Saccharomyces cerevisiae S288C: one gene and its partner. The gene in region 1 interacts genetically with each later gene. Each region holds a gene or a part of one and is shown in the gene's direction. Other genes may lie near its edges. The genes, in order: MIS1 and AEP3.

Region 1 (16,482 bases):
CATGTGCCCACTGTATTCATGTATGAGCGGCCTTTTTTTTCCACGAAAACAGATATGATGATGTTTTAGGCCAAAATGGTGAGATCCTTTTACAGGAAGATTTTACGCCAACTCTTTCCATTTAGTGACACAGGTGAGGGTCTTTTATCGGCGCAAGGTGTTTCAGATGAGCCATTTTGCCCGTAGTCCGGTTTAATCAGCCTCATTGGAATTCCCCGGCACCGCTCGCATTCCGCGTACGACTCAAAGAATTTCCCATTGAATTCGGGAATGTGCGTGTTTCAGATTGCGTTTGCTTATTATTCTGGGAAACTCTCCGGAAACAAGCTGAGCTGGACTCCACGAATGGTCCCTCACAAGGCTCTTGGCTCATGCACAGTTAAAAAGCACCTGTAGCTACCATCAGCAATCCATGGTGCTGGAGTTTCTCTCGATGGTACGGCCCATAGCTGGAGAAAATAGCTTATTACCAAAAAAGTAATTCCCCCGCAGAGGTATATATTAAGTTTGAAACAAAAGGCTTGCTTAATTTTTTACATATGACAACCCTTTTCTTACTTTTATAAATGTTTATGAAACAGGAGATTCTTCGACTGGTGCCAGATTCCTCCCATATCGACAAGAAGAATAATCCACCTATTTCAACAATTCTGATACCTGTTTAACCATGAGTCTTAAAGAAGACGACTTTGGCAAGGATAATTCTAGAAATATAGAATCATATACTGGTAGAATTTTTGACGTATATATACAAAAAGATTCGTATTCACAGTCGGCCTTGGATGATATGTTTCCAGAAGCCGTAGTTTCAACCGCCGCTTGTGTGAAAAATGAAGCGGAGGATAACATCAATCTCATAGACACGCATCCTCAATTCGAACTGGTAAATACTGGACTGGGTGCTAAATCGGACGATTTGAAATCTCCATCAGCAAAGGCTACGTTCACTGACAAGCAGAGGAAGAATGAAGTACCAAATATATCTGTGAGCAACTACTTTCCCGGACAAAGTAGCGAAACGTCGTCAACAACGGAATCTTGGACTATCGGTTGTGATAAGTGGTCAGAAAAGGTAGAAGAGGCATTCCTTGAGGCACTTAGACTGATAATGAAAAATGGGACCACAAAAATAAAAATAAGAAATGCCAATTTTGGAAGAAACGAGCTGATTTCATTATATATCAAGCACAAAACCAACGAGTTCAGAACCAAAAAGCAAATTTCTTCCCATATTCAAGTCTGGAAGAAGACCATACAAAACAAAATCAAGGACTCGCTGACCCTATCATCAAAGGAGAAGGAGCTTCTACACCTTATCGAACATGGCGCTGAACAAACTACTGAAAACTCAAACCTGTTTTATGACATATTTGAAGAAATTATCGACTCTCTACCTTCAGTCAGTGATTCTGGAAGTTTAACCCCTAAAAACCTCTATGTAAGTAATAATAGCAGTGGATTGTCAGTACATTCAAAACTGCTTACGCCAATCACTGCTTCCAACGAGAAAAAAATTGAAAATTTCATAAAAACTAATGCTGCATCTCAAGCCAAAACCCCCCTCATTTACGCTAAGCACATTTATGAAAACATAGACGGCTACAAGTGCGTTCCGTCAAAGAGGCCTCTTGAACAACTTTCCCCCACGGAACTCCACCAGGGAGATCGCCCCAATAAGGCTAGCTTTTCCAACAAGAAGGCAATCCTGGAGAGTGCAAAAAAAATCGAAATAGAGCAGAGAAAGATAATCAACAAATACCAAAGAATTTCCCGCATACAAGAACATGAAAGTAATCCTGAGTTCAGTTCCAATTCCAATTCCGGTTCAGAGTACGAATCGGAGGAAGAAGTAGTCCCAAGATCAGCCACAGTCACACAACTCCAAAGCAGACCAGTGCCATACTACAAGAATAATGGAATGCCCTACTCACTCTCCAAAGTACGAGGAAGGCCCATGTATCCAAGACCTGCTGAAGATGCTTACAATGCCAATTATATTCAAGGTCTGCCCCAGTACCAAACATCTTATTTTTCGCAGCTGTTATTATCATCACCCCAGCATTACGAACATTCTCCACATCAAAGGAACTTTACGCCATCCAACCAATCGCATGGGAACTTTTATTAAATGTCTACATACATACATACATCTCGTACATAAATACGCATACGTATCTTCGTAGTAAGAACCGTCACAGATATGATTGAGCACGGTACAATTATGTATTAGTCAAACATTACCAGTTCTCGAACAAAACCAAAGCTACTCCTGCAACACTCTTCTATCGCACATGTATGGTTCTTATTGTTTCCCGAGTTCTTTTTTACTGACGCGCCAGAACGAGTAAGAAAGTTCTCTAGCGCCATGCTGAAATTTTTTTCACTTCAACGGACAGCGATTTTTTTTCTTTTTCCTCCGAAATAATGTTGCAGCGGTTCTCGATGCCTCAAGAATTGCAGAAGTAAACCAGCCAATACACATCAAAAAACAACTTTCATTACTGTGATTCTCTCAGTCTGTTCATTTGTCAGATATTTAAGGCTAAAAGGAAATGTTGTCGAGACTATCTTTATTGAGTAACTCGAGGGCGTTCCAACAGGCCAGATGGCGCATTTACCGCTTAAAAGTTTCGCCAACTGTGCATGCTTCTCAATACCATATTCTTTCTGGTAGGAAACTTGCTCAATCTATTCGAGAAAAAGCCAATGATGAGATACAAGCCATTAAGCTTAAGCATCCTAATTTCAAGCCTACCTTGAAAATCATTCAAGTCGGGGCCAGACCAGACTCATCTACGTACGTGAGGATGAAATTGAAAGCTTCAAAGGACAGCAATGTAGACTGTATCATAGAGAAGTTACCAGCAGAAATCACTGAAGTTGAGCTTTTGAAGAAAATTAGTGACATCAATGATGATGACTCTATCCATGGGTTGCTAATTCAACTACCTCTACCGCGTCACTTGGATGAAACCACGATTACAAACGCTGTGGACTTTAAAAAGGACGTTGATGGGTTCCACAGATATAATGCTGGTGAATTGGCTAAAAAAGGAGGGAAACCATACTTCATACCATGTACTCCTTATGGTTGCATGAAATTACTTGAAGAAGCTCATGTTAAGTTAGATGGTAAGAACGCCGTCGTGTTAGGCAGATCAAGTATCGTCGGAAATCCAATTGCTTCGTTGTTGAAAAATGCGAATGCCACTGTTACTGTCTGTCATAGTCATACAAGGAACATTGCAGAAGTGGTCTCCCAAGCTGATATAGTTATCGCAGCTTGCGGTATTCCTCAATACGTTAAATCAGACTGGATTAAAGAAGGCGCCGTGGTTATTGATGTAGGTATCAACTACGTACCTGATATCAGTAAGAAAAGTGGGCAAAAATTAGTTGGTGATGTTGATTTTGATTCTGTAAAGGAAAAGACATCTTATATTACCCCTGTTCCTGGTGGAGTGGGTCCAATGACTGTCGCTATGCTTGTTTCCAATGTACTATTAGCTGCTAAAAGGCAATTCGTGGAATCTGAAAAGCTTCCAGTTATCAAACCTCTTCCATTACACTTAGAAAGTCCAGTGCCTTCAGATATTGATATATCAAGAGCTCAGAGTCCTAAGCATATCAAGCAAGTTGCCGAGGAGTTGGGAATCCACTCTCACGAATTAGAATTATACGGCCACTATAAGGCAAAAATTTCTCCAAATATTTTTAAAAGATTAGAATCTAGAGAAAACGGTAAGTACGTCCTTGTTGCAGGTATTACTCCGACTCCATTGGGTGAAGGTAAATCCACTACGACTATGGGGTTGGTGCAGGCTTTATCCGCTCATTTAGGGAAACCATCCATCGCGAACGTTAGACAACCATCTCTTGGCCCAACCCTGGGTGTCAAAGGTGGTGCTGCTGGTGGTGGTTATGCCCAAGTTATTCCTATGGACGAGTTCAATTTACATTTGACCGGGGATATTCATGCTATCAGCGCTGCGAACAATCTTCTTGCAGCAGCTATCGACACTAGAATGTTCCATGAAGCCACTCAGAAGAATGATAGTACATTTTACAAGAGACTAGTTCCAAGAAAAAAAGGCATCAGAAAGTTTACCCCATCCATGCAGAGAAGGCTTAAAAGATTGGATATTGAAAAAGAAGACCCTGATGCTTTAACACCTGAAGAAGTCAAAAGATTTGCTAGATTGAACATAAATCCCGATACTATCACTATCAGAAGAGTTGTCGACATCAATGACAGGATGTTAAGACAAATTACCATTGGCGAAGCCGCTACGGAGAAGGGTTTTACAAGGACCACTGGATTCGATATCACTGTTGCCTCTGAATTAATGGCCATTTTAGCTCTATCTAAAAGCTTACACGAGATGAAGGAACGTATTGGACGCATGGTTATTGGTGCTGATTATGATAACAAACCAGTAACAGTAGAAGATATTGGCTGTACCGGTGCTCTGACTGCATTATTACGTGACGCTATAAAGCCTAACTTAATGCAAACTTTGGAAGGGACCCCCGTAATGGTTCACGCTGGTCCTTTCGCCAACATCTCCATCGGCGCATCATCAGTAATTGCAGACTTAATGGCATTGAAGCTTGTTGGTTCAGAAAAGAACCCGTTAAATGACAAGAACATCCATGAACCTGGTTATGTAGTTACTGAAGCAGGATTCGATTTTGCCATGGGTGGTGAAAGATTCTTTGATATCAAATGTCGTTCCTCTGGATTGGTGCCAGATGCAGTTGTCTTAGTCGCAACCGTAAGAGCTTTGAAATCTCATGGAGGTGCTCCAAATGTTAAGCCCGGACAATCATTACCAAAAGAATACACAGAGGAAAACATCGATTTTGTTGCCAAGGGTGTTAGTAATTTGGTTAAGCAGATTGAAAACATCAAAACGTTTGGAATACCAGTCGTTGTAGCAATCAACAGATTTGAAACAGACTCACAGGCAGAGATTGAGGTAATCAAGAAAGCAGCCTTGAATGCTGGCGCATCTCATGCCGTTACTTCTAATCACTGGATGGAAGGTGGTAAAGGTGCAGTAGAATTAGCACATGCTGTGGTAGATGCAACGAAAGAACCAAAGAACTTTAACTTTTTGTACGACGTCAATAGCTCCATCGAGGACAAGCTTACCAGCATCGTCCAAAAAATGTATGGTGGGGCAAAAATCGAAGTATCACCAGAAGCCCAAAAAAAGATAGACACCTACAAAAAACAAGGCTTCGGTAATCTTCCCATCTGTATTGCTAAGACACAATATTCATTATCCCATGATCCATCATTAAAGGGTGTTCCTAGAGGTTTTACGTTCCCCATCAGGGATGTGAGAGCTTCAATAGGTGCAGGTTATTTATACGCTTTGGCTGCAGAAATTCAAACCATACCGGGTCTATCGACATATGCTGGTTACATGGCAGTAGAAGTCGACGACGACGGTGAAATTGAAGGTCTATTTTAAATAGTTTGGCAGACTCCTAATGGCATCAATTCGACCTCGATGTCCGTCTGCACGAGTACCCTTTATATAAACAATTGAGATGAGAATATTAGAAAAATGGGTTTTAGTTATGTAGGTATATGTGCATACATACGTATTATCGAAGTTTTTGCTACCTGTTTATTAACTGAGTATGTATATTAAGATAAATTAATTAAAGAAAATTTAAGCGTCTTCCTTCAATAAAGCATCTCTCTTTTCAGCAACTCTTTGAGCTCTTCTGTCACGAGCAGCTCTGTTCTTCAATCTTCTAGCTTCAGCTTCTTCGTTCAAAGCCTTTTCACGTTGAGCATCAGCCTTAGCTTGGATGATGTGTTCAACCAAGGCTCTCTTGTGTTTGAAAGCGTTACCCTTAGATTCCTTGTACAAAACATGGTACAAGTGCTTGTCAATCTTACCAGCATCACGGTACTTAGCCAATAATCTTCTCAAGACACGTAATCTTCTGATCCAGACAACTTGGGATGGTAAACGGGCTTCTCTGGTACCCTTTCTCTTACCGTAACCACTGTGACGACCTTCTCTCTTAGATTGAGCATGGGCTCTGGTTCTGGATTTAGAGTGGACGGTAACGGCCTTCTTTACGATGGTACCGTTCTTAACCAATTTTCTAATGGCGTTTCTGGAGTTGGCTTGAGCAATTTCAGAGGTTTCATTTGGATCTAACCAAACCTTTCTCTTACCGACACCGACGACAGAAGCGGCAAGTCTCTTTTGAGTACGTAAATTAGCCCTGTTAAAGTCATGTTAGTTATTATCGTTCTGTAAGAAGGAAAAAGTCTATTCGCGTCGAAAGATAGAAATTGCGGTGGTAGACACTTTAAAACTCGCTATAGAAAAATGACATGGTTATTATGTATGCTGGATACTGCAGCAGCTCGAGTAACTTTTATCACGTAACTGGTTCTCGTATTGAATACTCATATTAATGGTCTCACTTATCGCTATAAATATCTTAATGGTAAACTGCACAGAAAAAAAATTCTTCCACAAGTTTCCTCTTTTGCCTTTTAGTGCTAAAACTCCGATTATAGAAACATCTGGCTTCACTAGCATATTCATGATGCAAATGGAACACAGTATCGTTCTTGGCATATATTACCCATATCACTTTTCAATAACGCTGGTGTTTCAGGTGATAACTCATCAAACTCGCATTCCTCAAGAGGGAGTTATTATAACAATTCTATCTTATTCCTGATAAACTTTCATAGATTCATTATTCACTGCATCACATACATTTTTGCTTTGGAGTTCTTAATCAACTTTCTATGTGAAGCGTAAAATCAATAGTTACCTTGTATTCTCTGTTGATCACTGTCCAAACCTATATTTTTGTTTCCCCCTCAGAGAAGTTAGGTCGATGCCTATCGTAGTTTGCAAGGAAGACGGCTTCCAACTGAGACCGCCCTAGTCTGGCAGGATTCGTGAAAGGAGTCCATGCCAGCTGCTACCCAGGGATTGCCACGGCCCCGGCCAGCGTATAGTACACTGTCAGGAGCAATTCGAAGAGGCAACCAAAATTATGCTAAGCATCGCACTCTCTCTCAGTCTGGTGCTAAGCGGAAGACATGCTTCCAATGGCCTCCTCACCGAGAACGGATATTAAACGAAACGAAGAAAAAAAATCTTCACGGAAAATGCGTAATGTCTGGATGACAAAATGCATGGGTGTAAAAAAGGAAATGAGACGAACTTGTAATAAACCTTAGTGGGTTGACGAATTTTGAAATAAAGTTTTTCCTTTTTTTTTTTTTTTTTCTTTTTCATTGTTTGGTTGCCTTCAAATTACATATAAGATTTCTCGAGAAGGGTTTTCCATTGTCCTTTTCATTAGGCGTTGAAGTGAATCTAAAGTGCGCTTGAATGATTTCAGATAGAAAGACTAAAGAAGTGGTGTGAGTATAATTAACTCAATTGAAGACGGTTTACCTGAAGTGATATACTGTGCCTTGAGAAACAATGAGTAGCGACGCTAAGCAACAAGAAACAAACTTTGCCATTAATTTCTTAATGGGTGGTGTGAGTGCGGCCATCGCTAAAACTGCTGCCTCACCAATCGAAAGAGTCAAGATCTTGATCCAAAATCAAGATGAAATGATCAAGCAAGGAACTTTAGATAAAAAGTATTCCGGTATCGTGGATTGTTTCAAGAGAACTGCAAAGCAAGAGGGACTAATATCCTTTTGGCGAGGAAATACTGCCAATGTTATTCGTTATTTTCCCACTCAAGCTTTGAACTTCGCCTTCAAAGATAAGATTAAGTTGATGTTTGGTTTCAAGAAAGAGGAAGGCTATGGTAAATGGTTTGCAGGTAATCTGGCTTCTGGTGGTGCAGCTGGTGCTCTTTCGTTATTATTTGTTTATTCTTTAGATTTTGCCAGAACCAGACTTGCTGCTGATGCAAAATCGTCGAAAAAGGGTGGCGCTCGCCAATTCAATGGGTTGACTGATGTTTATAAAAAGACCTTGAAATCGGATGGTATCGCAGGATTATACAGAGGATTCATGCCATCAGTAGTGGGTATCGTGGTTTATAGAGGACTATATTTCGGTATGTTTGATTCTCTCAAGCCACTGGTGCTAACTGGTTCATTAGATGGTTCATTCTTGGCTTCATTTTTATTGGGATGGGTGGTCACTACAGGTGCCTCAACATGTTCTTATCCATTAGACACAGTGAGAAGAAGAATGATGATGACTTCAGGTCAAGCAGTAAAGTACAACGGTGCTATAGATTGTCTCAAAAAAATCGTAGCTTCTGAAGGTGTAGGGTCATTGTTCAAAGGCTGCGGGGCAAATATCTTGAGAAGTGTTGCTGGAGCTGGTGTTATTTCCATGTATGACCAGTTGCAAATGATATTGTTCGGTAAAAAATTCAAATGATCAGTTGGATGAAGAAAAAAGTCATTTTCTCGACTTCTCTTCACCTTTCGATCGATTTGATTTTGGCCGCCAACTTGTTTATAGAAAAAAAATAGTAGGAAGGTTATGTATCGCTTTCTTTTATTTTTTATTATAGAGTATAACTGAATAAATTTGTAAATCAGCCACTGTTGTTCGATTGCTTTTTGGGGAAGTGAACTTGAGACCTTTAACTTTCGGCTTTCAGATGGTTGGATAGCAATTTTCACACAATTTGGACATTGTCTCCAAGTTTTCCACAATGATGAAGGTTCTTTGTTAAGTGCATTCCCCCCCTTTTAAGTACCTTGGCTATCAATTTTATACCCATTTTTCGTATTTACCATTTAATTAACGATCCAATTATTAGCGTTAATTACGGAAGCGCCAATGAATTTTTAGAAATCAGAACCATAGTTTTGAGCTCAACGGAACTATCCAGGATAATTTCTCAAAGCTTTATCAAGATGAGCATAATTTTCCTTTCGGGGTGTAGACCTTATAAGAGCTTCCGCGTTTTTGTTCTACATTCCATTGAGAAATTTGTTGCCAAAGTTTGCCAATGATCAATGGTAAACATAACGGTTCTAAGACTCAACCTTCACTATTTGGAGAGTGATGCTTCAAGATAAGCATCCTGATCCATTTTATAATATTTGTTAGGGTTTTCGAGAACTTAGATAAGAATCAATTATTGTCAGTATTATTACATTTTGGTTTTTAATTTTAACATTTTATTTTTATTTTTTTGACAATTCTCAAATAAATTTCATAGCAAAAAGGGAGAAAGATTTCAGAAGAATACAAACTTAGGACCTTCTTATGACTATTTCCAACATTCTCATCGTCCTCTCAACGGGATAAAAGTTCAGTTCCTGTTAAAAAAGAATAATTCTTACTGAGAATGAAGTATTCAAAGAAATTTAATATTTTTGAAATATTTTTTGGGATTGCGCAAACATATGCCCTCTCAAAAGCAAGACAAAAATTTAGCAAACTTTATAACGATTACACCATTATTTTCTCATAATTTTCGCTAGACATTTCTACAGTACTTGTGGACGTTGGAAATGAAAGACATAGTATGAAAAAGATGATCAATTTTTCGCAATTGGTTGAGTAAATTTCAGGTCTTTTTTGGGGATATTTTTCAACTGAGAAATTCAAAACTGACAAGAATTAAAAATGAGAAAAGATTGCGAGCTTTTCTATTCATGTGATACATCGCCTTTTAATTATATATAGTCATGTTTAAGGGATTTTAGAGGGTAAAACAAGTTATTGAAAGGGTCCGTAGTCGGCTGCGCAGGAAATGCCCTTTCATAGAGCGGACGTACCACAACGCGCATGTAGTTGAGCGCCGTTCCTGCTCTGATCATACTATACTAGACAGGGAAAAATCCATTTTTAAAACGTGTGACTGTTTTCCCTGTCGGTCCCGAAGTAAGATGAGGTTGCCTAATGAATAGCAGCAAACGATACTTTCAGTATTCGTCCTTTAAAGAATTTTGCACTTTTGACCAAGACCTCTGATTTGCGAGACCTCCCAGTTCGGATGCTTTAAGACACCTCCAAATCTCTAGAAAACTCAACTACAATGCGTCCAGGTATAGAGACGAAATTAATTAAATGAAAAACTTATACGTATACGAACTATCTACCAGCCTGTAATTCACTTATTTAGAATATTTATTTAAATTTTTTTTAAAAACATCAAAAGCAGACGGACAAACGTTTTAAACCAATGACAGGGTCATGGTAATAATAATAGCTTTATCTTTTTTTATTTCTTTCACTTTCGGTTGGTGAAATCAAGTACTTAAAAGACCTAACAAACTCTACAATTTGCGCCTTTCTTTCCCCTAATAGAACATGTTAGATTTATAAGCGAAAACGGAAAAGAAAACTACAGCCCAGCAATAAGAGTGCAAATCAAAGTGTGCATGAAGTGACTCGTATCGAACAAATATTTAGCCACTCGTTCAAGCCTGGCCGGCCAAATCCAAAAGATAATCTTTGGCCTCACCAATGATATTAGCGATGACTTCGCCGTCCTTTAGCACATAACCATGTGATTTATCCTCGCTTAAAACTGTTTGAATTTCATAGTTCTTTTTCTCTTGCTTCTTCAAAAACTCCTGGTACCCACTGACTGTCGTCAGTTCAACAGGTGCGCTTTGCAAGAAAGAACCGGTAGAATGAGTAAAATTTGTGCTTTGTTTGTATAGAGCAGATGACATGTTATAGTATAATGTAATTTATTGTAGTTGGTAACTTGAGCCCCTATCGAATGAAGAGTGCGCCGCTTTCCCTTATACAAACTGGAGCCGCAAGTCCTTTGTCCCTTTTATAATAATGAGATGATCCGGTGATAACTACTTATTGCCAGAAAAAGCCCAGATCAGATAATTAATGGGGGCAAACCAAAACAAGAAAAAAAACCGCGAAATGAAGTGCGGGTCAAAAAGAGGAAAAAGGAATATGGATAACATGTATGCGCGCACTGACGTAACTGCACGTACTTCAGAAGCAACATATATTCAACAAAACTAAGCAAGAAGATATTATTAGCTGTAACTATATCACATTTAGACTTACCCCTATCGTTCATACTTCCCACTGCAACCCTAGTTGTAGTTCTGCTAATAGTCGGCCAATCTTGAACATGTACTGTAAGGCCCAAAAGGGCTCCAGGGATGCCCTTCTACAAAGCATTTCACATGCTAATAAAAGCCCCGTTACATAATAACATCTCCCGCCCACAAAAGCGTTTGATCCTGTTTTTCTATTTGCTTCCATAAAAAATCGGATCACATTTCCTTTTCTTCCGCCTTAGATCTGCACCGAGATCTTTTGCGCTCTATTTTACCCCTAGAAACTGGACCCGGCCTAGAATCTTTCACTGCCACCAGAGAGTTTTAGCCTCGCTCTCTTTTAATTTGCTGAAAAAGGGTTTCCTGATAGAAGCCGCGGTTAATAGAAAAACGGCAAAAAAGTTATGGTCGGTATGTTCTACCCCCCTGGATATAATCGTGTGACTAACATACGTAATGAATCCTAGCTGTGACTCCTCTCGAACGAAGAAGAAAGAGGCAATGCATGCGTAGAAACTAAATCTTGAGATTTCTGTTTGATGAAAACACTGCACAAGGTAAAATGAATTATTCTTTTAAAATTAGAGATACATAAAACATACACTTGATAGAAAGAAGAATACATATTAATTTAATGTCACCATATTATAAAAATAAAATTTGTTATCGTCCTAGCTTTTTTTTAAAGCTTCTTTTTCAGCTTATGCAATAGCCCCTTTTTATGTTTTGGTTTTTCCTTTGCCGCCGATGAAGAGGAAGAGGATTCGGTTGTCTTAGAATTGTTCGTGACATTCTTCACTCCAGCATCACGATGGCGGTGGTGGTGATGATGATGGTGGGGCTGAGTAGCATCTGTAGTAGTAGTAGTAGTAGTATTGTTATTAGATGGTCTCGCAGAATCCTTAGTTTCCTTCGTGGAAATAGATCTTGATGGGCCATTTTTCGTGCTTACTTCAGTCTTTTTTGTTTGTTCAGTAGCCACTGAAACCTTCGATTGGTTATCGTTAACAGCTGCGTTGACAACAGGCTTAATATTTGCATCTTTAATGAGTGGAGTCTTAGTGGCAGCATCGTCTTTGGCCTGGGTATTTTCGTTATTTTCGCCACCAGTAACAGCAATTTTGGGTATTTGATCAATTTTTCTACTTAGTGCATCAACGGCGTCACCATCTGGCAAAAGCTTACTTTCCGTGCCTAAGGTGTTGTTATTGGTGGCGTTGGAAGATTCTGCACTGGATTTCGCATCCCTAATGGATTTACCGTCCTCATCAAACCTTAAGTAGTAATTTTTAGATGTTGGAATTGTTTCTGGTAAAGTGGCGCCCGCAACACCATATGAGCCAACGGTAGGCACCTTCACCAAAGAATTTCTTTTTTCAGTACTTTCTGTGGCCAATGGCTTTTTACCAGCAGATCCGGCTGTATCGTTATCAACAGCTTTGACTACACCGGTTTTGCTGCTAGAAGAAGAAGAAGATAATGAAGGCGAGGAGGCTGAGGATAAAGAAGACGGATCATTGTTGGCATGAGTGGCAGCATGTGCCTCATATCCATTGGCAGAAGAGGCAGGCTGTTTCTCACCGAGTTCTTGGTGCAACTTCTCATTCGCAGACCCTTTTCTTTGAACTAGTTCTTTTTCGTTATTCGAATTAAATTCAGGGGAGGGAATTTTTTCAAAGACTTCTTGTTTTGGTGGGTTTTGCACGTTAACTACATGCTTTGGCACAATGCCATTTGCAACGTCATCATGGGAAGATTTCAAAATACTAGAGAAAAGGAAGAAAATAGCAACACTAACATGCTCAATAAAAACAGCATATAGTACAATATTTATCCACGAGTGGTTTATTGGATTTGCTAGGTACCAAGCTTTATTCGTATGGATGGAAGTATGAGCGCCGACACCTGGTATATTACAGCTCTGGTACATATAGGTCAAAGTAGCAGTGATAACACAACCTAAGATGGAGAACATAACTAAGACAGAGTTCCATAGACCAACCGTCAGTTTTTGGGTATTAGACACAGAGGATGGCTTATCGTAGATTGGAAATGGAAAATACTCAGGTTTACTATAAAGCACAGCTTTCCTCAAATCGACTTGGTAAACAATCAAATTGACTATCAAACAGATAAATGGAGCTAGTGGCCAAATTGTAGAAAACATAACAAGATACCCGAATTGTAGAAGAAGCTTTTTGAAGTTGGCGTCCAAATCAAATGTTGCTCCCCAGGGGTCTGTTTGGTACGACTTAACCTTTGACCAAATTTTCATATCTGATGAGCTGAGTTGAGCTTTACCGATTTCACTCTCAGCTTTGACAAAGTTAGGATTTGGTCCATTAATTTTCTGCTGAGCAATGCTAACAAGGCTTGGAACAAAGTTTTCCATGCTAAATTGAATCAGTTGGTTGATAACAATAAAGTAGAAAAATTGATCTTCATAGCGCTTTGTATCAATAATAAAATCTGAATCATGGGTAGGTAAACGGGCCAATATTGAAAAGGCATTGAAAACCTTAGTTCTTATTTCTGCGGTCAACAAATGCCCCATTGGCAGATAAAGAAATAGTGTAATTAATAGGGGAACGTAACTGGATAGAAAAATAATAACAAAGTTCTTAGCTTCTTTAGATTTCTTTGCATTCACAACACTGCTATGATTTTCCCACTTTGTCATTGGTTCTACGAAATATTTGTTGTAAATCACAGTTAAAACCGGAGTAAACGTGCAAATAAGTATAGTAGGCAAAAAAGACAAGATGGAAATCATTGGGCCGTTATAAATTTGCTTGATGAAAATTTCCAACGCAAAACAATATAGCTGGAATGATAGTAATATTGCGCCAAACAACAAAGCCACAGGAATAAAACAACATTTCTTCAACATGATAACCGAACTAGCTTTTTTTTGGGCTTTCTGTTTATCTTGAAGAAACTCAATGGTAGAAAATGATGAGTATTTACTCAGTCTATCAGACCAAAATGGTTCATATTTATAAAGCCAAAAGGCTGTAAATGACAATGTCCATAGGATGGCGAACAGCGAGTATGTGGAATTGAATTCATACGTAAAATTAGATAAAAATCTAATTGATAATCCAAAAAAGGAGAAGGGAATCAACCATTTTATATAGTTCTGTAAGAATGCAAAATATAAGGATTGTTTGGGATTATTGGTCAAATTCGATAGGTTGTACAACTCATACTGTTTTGGAGCCTCCAGTATTTTTGATTTGCTGATAGAAATCAGTTTATGCAAATCATCGGACAATTCAGTATCATGATATGGTATGATGGATTCAATGAAGTCCAGATTCTGCAAAAATGAAAAAAGCGGTTTCGCATTATCCTGATGGATTCTAATAAACGCATAGCTTGTTTGCAGATCATGGCCAGGTTCGATAATAGAATGTATATTCAAACGTTTGAATTCGACATTCAAACTCTTCTCGTTTGCACTCGAAGTTTTATTGAATACAATAACACAATTCGGATCTAGAGATGTAATTGTCTGCGACATAGTATGCTCAACCGCTTGTGCTTGTTTTAATCTTTTTCAAATGTATTTGACAAATTAGCCATAAATCGACCGAAACAGTATTCACCTTCAAAAATGTTAATGATGGTGAGAACGGTTATTGGAGCGACTGTTCAAATATCTTTTCCAGCCCCCTATTTCCAGCTTCCCTTATAGAAATAATTGCAACGGGGAAAAAAGGGATATTTCTTAATGAAGTCAATAATAGCTGCAAAAAGAAAACTATTTTTCAGTTGAAAAATATGGAAAGTGCTTATTTATCAGAAAGCTTTTACAGTCTTTCACACTGATGTAGTGGTGGAATCTTTTTGTTTTGAAAACAACAGAGAAAAAAAAAAGATAAAAAAAAGTGCCCTTGTTTGTTTTCGTCCCTAGAAGGAAAAAAAAAGAGAAGTTTCTCGCAGAGTGAAAAAAAATGTCAAGAAAAGATCCTACAAGAACAAATTATGCGCAATAATATGCTTCGTGCTGTTTTAGGATCTTGGAGTCAGAAATAAAATAGTTTTGTAAATTTATGTAAGATGCTGTAGTCAAATTTATGTATCGAGTCTATGCATATGTACACCGTGTTGAGGAATCTTTTCTAGAAGCACTGCGGTGTCGCCTCTTGAATATTTTAACGCGATTTTTTATTCCTTGGAACATAAAATAGACTTTTCATTTGTATGATGGTTCATGGAAATTATAGATTAGTACAGCACAAACATGTCATTGTGGGTAGATAAATACAGACCTAAGTCCTTGAATGCTCTTTCACATAATGAAGAGTTGACAAATTTTCTAAAATCGTTATCTGATCAGCCTCGTGATTTACCTCATCTTTTACTGTATGGACCAAATGGTACAGGTAAGAAAACGCGTTGTATGGCATTATTGGAGTCCATATTTGGACCTGGAGTCTATAGATTGAAAATTGATGTCAGACAATTTGTCACTGCTTCGAACAGAAAACTAGAACTGAATGTGGTCAGCTCGCCATACCATTTAGAGATCACGCCAAGTGATATGGGTAACAATGATAGAATTGTCATCCAAGAACTATTGAAAGAAGTGGCTCAAATGGAACAAGTGGACTTTCAAGATTCTAAGGATGGACTTGCCCATAGATATAAGTGTGTTATTATCAACGAGGCGAACTCGTTAACAAAAGATGCTCAAGCTGCTTTAAGACGTACCATGGAAAAATACTCCAAAAACATTAGGTTGATAATGGTCTGCGATTCGATGTCGCCTATAATTGCTCCTATCAAATCCCGTTGTCTGTTGATTCGTTGTCCTGCACCAAGCGATAGCGAAATTTCAACTATCTTGTCTGATGTGGTGACAAATGAAAGAATACAACTAGAAACAAAGGATATTTTAAAAAGAATTGCTCAGGCATCGAATGGAAACTTGCGAGTCTCCCTATTAATGCTTGAATCTATGGCACTGAACAACGAATTAGCATTGAAAAGCAGTAGCCCTATAATAAAACCAGATTGGATTATAGTGATCCATAAATTAACGAGGAAAATCGTTAAAGAGAGATCTGTCAATTCTTTAATCGAATGCAGAGCTGTCCTATACGATTTACTAGCTCATTGTATACCTGCCAATATCATCTTAAAGGAACTAACGTTTTCTTTGTTGGATGTGGAAACCCTGAATACCACGAATAAATCGTCCATAATTGAATACTCAAGTGTTTTTGACGAAAGATTATCACTTGGAAACAAAGCAATATTCCATTTGGAAGGGTTCATAGCAAAAGTTATGTGCTGTCTAGATTAATGTAAGATATGTCATAAATACTGTATAAGTCACACAAAAAGCTGATATTTAACGCATCTTAGTCTTTATTTTCTTTGTTATTTATTTTCATTTAAAACAAACTTTACTGTTTTTTTTTTGTTTATTATTTTTAGTATACAACTATATAGATAAT
Region 2 (8,559 bases), on another chromosome or scaffold:
CGCTAGCCCATTACCTACAGTACTAAAGATTATTTGCGATATTCTGATAAAGAGCCTTGAACTTCTCGGGTGACCCCCTTAGCGTTTATATAGCGGGAGTGCCAAACGAGAGGAACATCAACAACCAGTATAACAACGTTCTTGTGTAGAAGATAACTAAATTCATCTCCAAAAAGAACAAGAGCAGAACTTCAATTAGTAAAACCATGAATGTGCTATGGATTATAGCACTAGTTGGCCAGCTGATGCGGCTCGTTCAGGGAACAGCTACCTGTGCCATGTATGGGAACTGTGGGAAAAAGTCAGTATTTGGAAACGAATTACCTTGCCCTGTGCCACGTAGTTTTGAACCTCCTGTTCTTTCAGATGAAACAAGCAAACTTTTGGTTGAAGTTTGTGGTGAAGAGTGGAAAGAGGTCCGTTATGCCTGCTGTACTAAAGATCAAGTGGTAGCACTGAGAGATAACCTACAAAAGGCTCAACCTTTAATTTCCTCATGCCCAGCATGCCTCAAGAATTTTAATAACCTGTTCTGTCACTTCACTTGCGCTGCTGACCAAGGAAGGTTTGTCAATATTACCAAGGTAGAAAAGTCAAAAGAAGATAAAGATATTGTTGCGGAATTAGACGTTTTCATGAATTCGTCTTGGGCATCTGAATTTTATGACTCATGTAAGAATATTAAATTTTCTGCTACCAACGGTTATGCGATGGACCTAATCGGAGGTGGTGCTAAAAATTACAGTCAATTCTTGAAGTTTTTGGGGGATGCTAAACCTATGCTTGGTGGATCCCCCTTTCAGATTAATTACAAGTATGATTTAGCAAATGAAGAAAAAGAATGGCAGGAATTTAATGATGAGGTTTATGCTTGCGATGATGCTCAATATAAATGTGCGTGTTCTGATTGTCAAGAGTCTTGCCCCCATTTAAAACCTTTAAAAGATGGCGTGTGTAAAGTTGGCCCTCTGCCATGTTTTTCCCTTTCTGTTCTGATCTTTTACACAATCTGTGCACTTTTTGCATTTATGTGGTATTATCTCTGTAAAAGAAAAAAAAACGGGGCAATGATTGTGGACGACGATATTGTTCCAGAATCAGGTTCCTTAGATGAATCAGAGACGAATGTATTCGAAAGTTTCAATAATGAAACTAACTTTTTTAATGGTAAACTCGCTAACCTATTTACGAAAGTGGGACAATTTTCCGTTGAAAACCCCTACAAGATATTAATAACCACTGTTTTTAGTATCTTTGTATTCAGTTTCATCATATTTCAGTACGCTACTCTTGAAACAGATCCAATTAATTTGTGGGTGAGTAAAAATTCTGAAAAATTCAAAGAAAAAGAGTACTTCGATGATAATTTTGGGCCATTTTACAGGACAGAGCAAATATTTGTTGTGAATGAGACAGGCCCTGTGTTATCATATGAGACACTTCACTGGTGGTTTGACGTTGAAAATTTTATTACGGAAGAGCTACAATCGTCAGAAAATATTGGATACCAAGATCTCTGCTTCAGACCAACAGAAGATTCTACATGCGTAATAGAGTCTTTTACTCAGTATTTTCAGGGGGCCTTACCAAACAAGGATAGCTGGAAAAGGGAACTGCAGGAATGTGGGAAATTTCCTGTAAACTGTCTACCTACTTTCCAGCAACCTCTAAAAACTAATCTTCTTTTCAGTGACGATGATATTCTCAATGCGCATGCGTTTGTTGTAACACTTCTATTGACCAACCACACTCAATCAGCTAATCGCTGGGAAGAAAGATTGGAAGAGTATTTATTGGATTTAAAGGTCCCCGAGGGCCTGAGGATCAGTTTTAATACCGAAATATCCTTGGAAAAAGAGCTTAATAATAATAATGATATCTCGACCGTTGCAATATCATACCTGATGATGTTTTTATATGCTACATGGGCCTTGAGGAGAAAGGATGGGAAAACTAGGTTGTTACTTGGAATATCTGGTTTACTCATAGTTTTGGCTTCTATTGTTTGTGCAGCCGGATTTTTAACTCTTTTTGGTTTGAAGTCGACATTGATCATAGCAGAAGTAATACCGTTTCTAATTTTAGCAATAGGAATAGATAATATTTTCTTGATTACACATGAGTATGATAGAAATTGCGAGCAAAAACCGGAGTATTCAATTGATCAAAAAATAATAAGCGCTATCGGGAGAATGTCTCCTTCCATTTTAATGTCATTGCTATGTCAAACCGGATGCTTCTTGATAGCTGCATTTGTTACAATGCCAGCTGTCCATAATTTTGCTATATATTCCACAGTTTCTGTTATATTCAACGGAGTATTACAGCTAACAGCGTATGTGTCCATTTTGTCTCTCTACGAAAAGAGATCCAATTATAAACAAATTACCGGAAATGAAGAAACTAAGGAATCATTTTTGAAAACGTTTTATTTTAAGATGTTAACGCAAAAGAGGCTCATAATCATTATCTTCTCGGCTTGGTTTTTCACATCTCTGGTTTTCTTACCAGAAATTCAATTTGGGCTAGATCAAACATTGGCTGTTCCACAGGATTCCTACCTGGTTGACTATTTTAAGGATGTTTATAGCTTCCTAAACGTAGGACCACCGGTTTACATGGTCGTGAAGAATTTAGATTTGACTAAAAGACAAAACCAACAGAAAATATGTGGTAAATTTACAACTTGCGAAAGAGACTCATTAGCTAATGTACTGGAGCAAGAAAGACACAGGTCAACAATTACGGAGCCATTGGCTAATTGGCTGGACGATTATTTCATGTTTTTAAATCCTCAAAACGACCAGTGTTGTAGATTAAAGAAGGGAACAGATGAGGTTTGTCCTCCCTCTTTTCCAAGTAGACGTTGTGAAACTTGTTTCCAGCAGGGTTCTTGGAATTACAACATGTCAGGGTTTCCTGAGGGCAAGGACTTCATGGAATACCTAAGCATATGGATTAATGCGCCTAGTGACCCCTGCCCTCTAGGTGGTCGTGCGCCATATTCGACTGCGTTAGTTTATAATGAAACGAGTGTGTCTGCGTCAGTTTTCAGAACAGCTCATCATCCTTTGAGATCCCAAAAGGACTTTATCCAGGCGTATAGTGATGGAGTTAGGATATCAAGTTCTTTCCCCGAACTAGATATGTTTGCATACTCGCCGTTTTACATTTTTTTTGTTCAATATCAAACTTTGGGACCATTGACGTTGAAGCTAATAGGGAGTGCCATTATCCTAATTTTTTTCATTTCATCTGTTTTCTTGCAGAATATACGCAGCTCATTCTTACTGGCTTTGGTCGTTACCATGATTATCGTAGATATTGGTGCTTTGATGGCCCTACTAGGTATCTCACTCAACGCTGTCAGTTTAGTCAATTTAATTATTTGTGTCGGTTTGGGTGTCGAGTTTTGTGTTCATATTGTTAGATCATTTACAGTGGTCCCCAGTGAAACCAAGAAAGACGCAAACTCAAGAGTTCTCTATTCCTTGAATACCATAGGTGAGTCCGTCATCAAAGGTATAACTCTAACCAAATTCATTGGAGTTTGTGTACTTGCATTCGCCCAATCGAAAATATTTGATGTATTTTACTTTAGAATGTGGTTTACACTAATCATTGTAGCAGCATTGCATGCTCTCCTATTTTTACCTGCTTTACTTTCATTGTTTGGTGGTGAAAGCTATAGGGACGATTCCATCGAAGCAGAAGATTAGCCATAGCAGATTATACTATATTTTACGTAGTGAAAAAATAGGTAAAAATTCGTTAATTATTCTGATGCCACACCAGAAAATCTGTGGGAAAATTTTTCGAGTCAGAAATGATAACACTAACACAGGCTTCGTTGTTATCGTGCATTGAAGTTAGATACTTCTACTATATTTAATCTTTAATAGTGTCATAAAAGTATTATTGGTTTCGGGCGAAAATCGTCATTTTCGCACACAGAACTTCAAAAGAGGAAAGGCCAAAAGAACTAAAACCGATTACTTCGGGGTGATTTTGTTCTGGCATCTTCTGGCACTCTTGGGCATCCTTAGCCATTTAGTATATTTATGAATACATTAAGGTGTTTGACACAAGCACTATCCAAAAGTGGGAGAGAAGCTCCAAAACTATATCAGAAAGTAATATTTCCAGGCCTGTTCAGAGAGGGTATACCAATTGCAAATGTCAAGAAAGTTGATGAAAAAATAATAGATAGCCCAACATCAACGTCAGTTAATGGAGAGGCAAAAAAAATAGTACGGCATGGTGTGAAGTATGAAAGGGAGCAAGTTAAGGAATACCTTTCAAGCCTGCCGACTTTAACGCTTTCTAGGAAACAAATTAGGGATGACTATGATGAGGAACGTGCAAAACGAATGTATATGTTCTCTAAACAAACGAATTCCTCGAATAAATTCCAGAAACTTCTTACAGCAAAGTCTCAAGAGTTTACTAGAGAACTATTGACGCTACTGATAGATTGCACATCGAATGAGAAGAATTCAGGGCCAGAACGCTTCACTCGTAAGTTTCTTAAGTTTAGTAATGACGAGATCCCTCCTCTCCCTGACTTTTCAAAGAACCCTCAATTGTTTGAAAATTATATTGGAATACTAAGTCATACAAAGTTCAATTTTCGTTCATCTTCCAAACTAAATGGTATTGTGCGTAAGATGCTGCGGCACCTACTTCATCCAACCAATAAGACGACTCTGCCGTTGCGTTCTGCTCAAGTTTATAATGACTCAATATACTTTTTCAGTGAGCACTTCGACTTTGCGTCTTGTAGAGAAATATTTGCACAAATGAAGGCTGAGGGGACTAAACCAAATACAATCACTTTTAATCTTTTACTGCGTAATGTAGTGAAAAACTCGCATATTAGAAAAACGAAGCACCCTGACGATGAGGTCCTTTTTTATCTTAGAAGTATGCGTAATCATGGAGTTTTTGCAGATGTAATAACTTGGACGACATGTTATAACTTTCTTCGTGATGAAGTTTCGAGACAATTGTACATTGTTCAAATGGGTGAACATTTAGGAAATTTTAACGTAAATTTTGTTTATACTGTGCTAAGGAACGGAGATTATAGAGCAGAGGACTGTTTAAAAGTTTTAGCAGCAAATTCACTACCGATTTCCCGTAAGACGTTCTATCTGTGCATAGAACGACTACTAAACGAGGAACAACTTGAAACCGCATCTAAATTACTTGACTATGGTTTTCAGCACTTGAAAAGTAATTTTAAGTTGGACTCGGAGGCAATGAATCATTTCATGCGGGTATTTGCTAATAAGGGAAGAAGTGATTTGGCATTCCTTTGCTATAATACTTGTCGTAAGATTTACAAAATTAAACCTGATTCTCAGACGTTCGAAATGTTATTTAAAGCGTTAGTTAGGAATGGCAACACCAAGAATTTTGGGGCAGTCCTACAGTATATCAAAGACTTAAAGGTTAGTGAAGGATTTGGATTGCGGACAAGTTATTGGAGAACCAAAGCAGACTCAATTTTCAAATTTGGTAGTCCTAATACGCTATCAGAAAAGTCAATTGAAAAAGCAAGAAAATTGTTGGGCAACCTGATTGCTTCCGAGGGTGAGTTCTCTTGGAAAATTTGGAAAGAAAGTGATTCTTCACAAAAAAAAATACTACGTTTTTTGGGTTGTATCCCCACTACTTTACGCTGCACCAATACAGCACAAGATCATCAGAAGCCCACAAACCTACCCTCAAACATTTCCCAGAAAAAAAGAGAATATCGAAATCGGGTTAAAGCAATAGCCACAAAGGCTGCTTTGGAAAAAAGAATGGCGTATATCAAAGACAATGATGTAGCTTTCAAAAAAGAGCTAGTAAAGAGGAGAATAGTTGGGGAGGTTTGATGAGGGAGGCATAAGTGCCCTGGCATTTGGACAGGAATTTTATTAATATAGGCATTTTTATTGTACATATATACTTCATAGATCATATTCATTTAATTAGACTTCGAAAAGTTGAATCTCTTACGGCAAAGGAGAACAAGAGAAAGGTTAATTATTAGGTCTTATAAAATTTGTTCAATTAATTATAAAGGTGATTACAATACCGGAATATTGGCCGAACAATACTTGAACCAAATTCAGATGAAATTAATAATAGGTAGACACGAGCTGGTGAAAAACAAGCACAATATAGAAAGGTTCGAATATATTAATTATTAGAAAAAACTCAGATGTTTTCAGAACCGGAGGTATGACCGTTTTGACTAACATGATGATCGGCCTCATGGGCTTCATCATCTACAGGAACTTCAGTAGTCCATTCAACTTCCTCTTCTTCGACTACTTGACCGGGGATATCTCCATTTTGGATTTCAGGTTCTTCTTCTTCTTCACCATCTTCGTCTTCATAGACGTCATCAACGGTCTGATGAAATGAAAGAGTTGGTTTGACTGCAGCCATGTCTAGGGTCCAAGATTCCAAGGCCGATTCAGCATCCATAATAATTTGGCGAGAAGCTTCATAGCCATCGTACGCTGGTCTAGCTTCACCTGGAGTGACAGGAGAGTCATCTAGCAGCTCCAATAAGGCCTTTCCGTATCCAGCAATCAGGGCAAATTTTTCAGAAAGCTCTCTTAATGAATCAAACATATAACTATAAGCAGCCTTTAATTTTTCACGTGTGATATTCGATAATTGAGCCTCCGCAACCAAAGATTCAGCTTCGGCACGAACTAGTTCTTGCTCTAAAACTGGGATTTTTGTTGATTGAGGATCTTTATATTTCAAATGGGCAATTTCATCTGTGATCTTTTCCTTACGATCTCTCGAAGGTTGAACAGAGGCTTCAATGTTCCTAATTGATTTTAATGTGACTCTGTATTGATCATATTTATCGATGAACTGGTCCTGTAGTTCACCCAACTCATATATTAAGACGCCTAATTTGTCGGTTACGTCGGAAACATCATCATCATTGTCAGCACCCCATAGAGACAGTTGCTTTGCAGCTTCACGGCGTTCGCTGGCAACAACTTCCATAGCTCTAAGGACACCTTTTTCAGTCTTAACCAATTGAGATAATTTACGAGCCAACTCTGGCCCAAAGTTACCAGCCGCATTTTTTCTAAAACTAGACGCAATAGAGGCCTTTCCGAAGAACTTGGACTTCGTTGAGGATGGTGGTGGTGGAGGAGCTTGTAGCTCAGCAGCCGTTGGAGCTCTTTGATTTCTTAAAGAGTAAGTTCTGTGCATTCTTGTGTTGGAGCTTTGAAAGTTTAATCTTTCGTATACCAAATAAAGAGAATTTACGGTCAAGCATTGGAATTGAGGAAAGAGGTTAACTGATTTTTTTCTTTTCTATCTCACCTGTTTATATATTGCGATTTAGCCGTTGCATCTTCCCGGTTTTTCCGTCTTTTTTTTAAAGGGCCCCTTTTTATCCCCTCTAACGCCTTTCGCAATCCCCTTTTCACTCGGCTGCAACGAGCGGGGTTGTAAGAGCTAAGCTTTCTAGCCTAGCAATGAAATAGAAGGACAAGTCAGACGATTGACGTCAAAAAAATGAGTCGCCTCTCTTTCTTTCTTAGGCCAACTAGACAGCCGTAGATGAAAATATGGAAAGATATGATAGACAGCTGAGACTATGGGGAGCATTGGGCCAAGATAGTTTGAACCGGTCCCGTGTGTGCGTGGTAGGACCTGCTACACCTTTGCTGCAGGAAGTTTTTAAGAATCTGGTGCTTGCCGGAATATCATCTCTTACTTGGCTCAAAGTAGAGTGTGCAGTTCAATCGGGTTCTCTGTTTTTAGCAGAGCTTAAAAAAGATCTTGAGCCATTGGCTTCTAAACAGCTAGAATATGAGGAAAATGACCTTAGAAAGACGTTACAGCAACCTCAGTATGATTGGACCCGCTTCTCGGTGGTGATCTTGACTTGTATTGGTGAGCAAACTGCGATGCTCGATTTAAATGAGATTAGGCGGCAGAGAGGAACAAAGTTTCCGCCTGTTCTAAACACTTTCGTCTCTGGATTTTATGGATATATATATCTGGTACTCTCAGAAACACATTTTGTTTTGCAAGCACACCCAGATAGTAAGAAGTATGATTTACGGTTACAGAACCCTTGGCCTGAACTAATAAATTACGTAGATACATTTGACCTAAGTAAAATGGATACAGCCACGTTTTCTGGTATTCCATATACTGTTTTGCTCATGAAGTGTATTGCAAAACTTGAAAGGGATGGTAATAATGGGAGGATAACGATTGATCAGATGAAGAAAGTTTTAGACCAAATTTGCCTTCCTTTAGGGAATGATGTTATCTACGAACCCAATTATGTGGAAGCTAAACGCTATGCTTACTTGGCCTGCTCTCAAAATGATTGTTGTAAAGAACTGGAAGATCTGCTCCGAAATTTGGAAATATCAGATTATGGGAACGATTGGCATGATACTTATAACTACGAGATTCTCACACTATTATTGACTTTGAAAAATATTGCTAAAGAGAATGGGGAGCTCAGCTTTCAACCTTTAACGGGCACTCTCCCAGATATGGAGTCAACAACGGAAA

The links.
Region 2: mutations in MIS1 (region 1) and AEP3 are lethal when combined (synthetic lethality), as found in Saccharomyces cerevisiae (one study listed by BioGRID).

What each region holds. Positions count from the first base shown.
Region 1 is NC_001134.8:408,502-424,983, forward strand, and holds MIS1 (trifunctional formate-tetrahydrofolate ligase/methenyltetrahydrofolate cyclohydrolase/methylenetetrahydrofolate dehydrogenase MIS1), read left to right. Parts: upstream 1-2,552; coding exon 2,553-5,480; downstream 5,481-16,482. Other genes in the region: TEC1 (Tec1p), read left to right, coding at 668-2,128; 60S ribosomal protein eL19 RPL19A, read right to left, coding at 5,685-6,252, 6,759-6,760; ADP/ATP carrier protein AAC3, read left to right, coding at 7,482-8,405; YBR085C-A (uncharacterized protein), read right to left, coding at 10,406-10,663; IST2 (Ist2p), read right to left, coding at 11,700-14,540; RFC5 (replication factor C subunit 5), read left to right, coding at 15,264-16,328. UniProt on the Saccharomyces cerevisiae protein: Mitochondrial isozyme of C-1-tetrahydrofolate synthase.
Region 2 is NC_001148.4:544,425-552,983, forward strand, and holds AEP3 (Aep3p), read left to right. Parts: upstream 1-4,061; coding exon 4,062-5,882; downstream 5,883-8,559. Other genes in the region: NCR1 (sphingolipid transporter), read left to right, coding at 207-3,719; lipid-binding protein LSP1, read right to left, coding at 6,208-7,233; ULA1 (Ula1p), read left to right, coding at 7,596-8,559. UniProt on the Saccharomyces cerevisiae protein: Required for respiration. Stabilizes the mitochondrial bicistronic mRNA encoding ATP6 and ATP8, 2 subunits of the proton-translocating ATP synthase.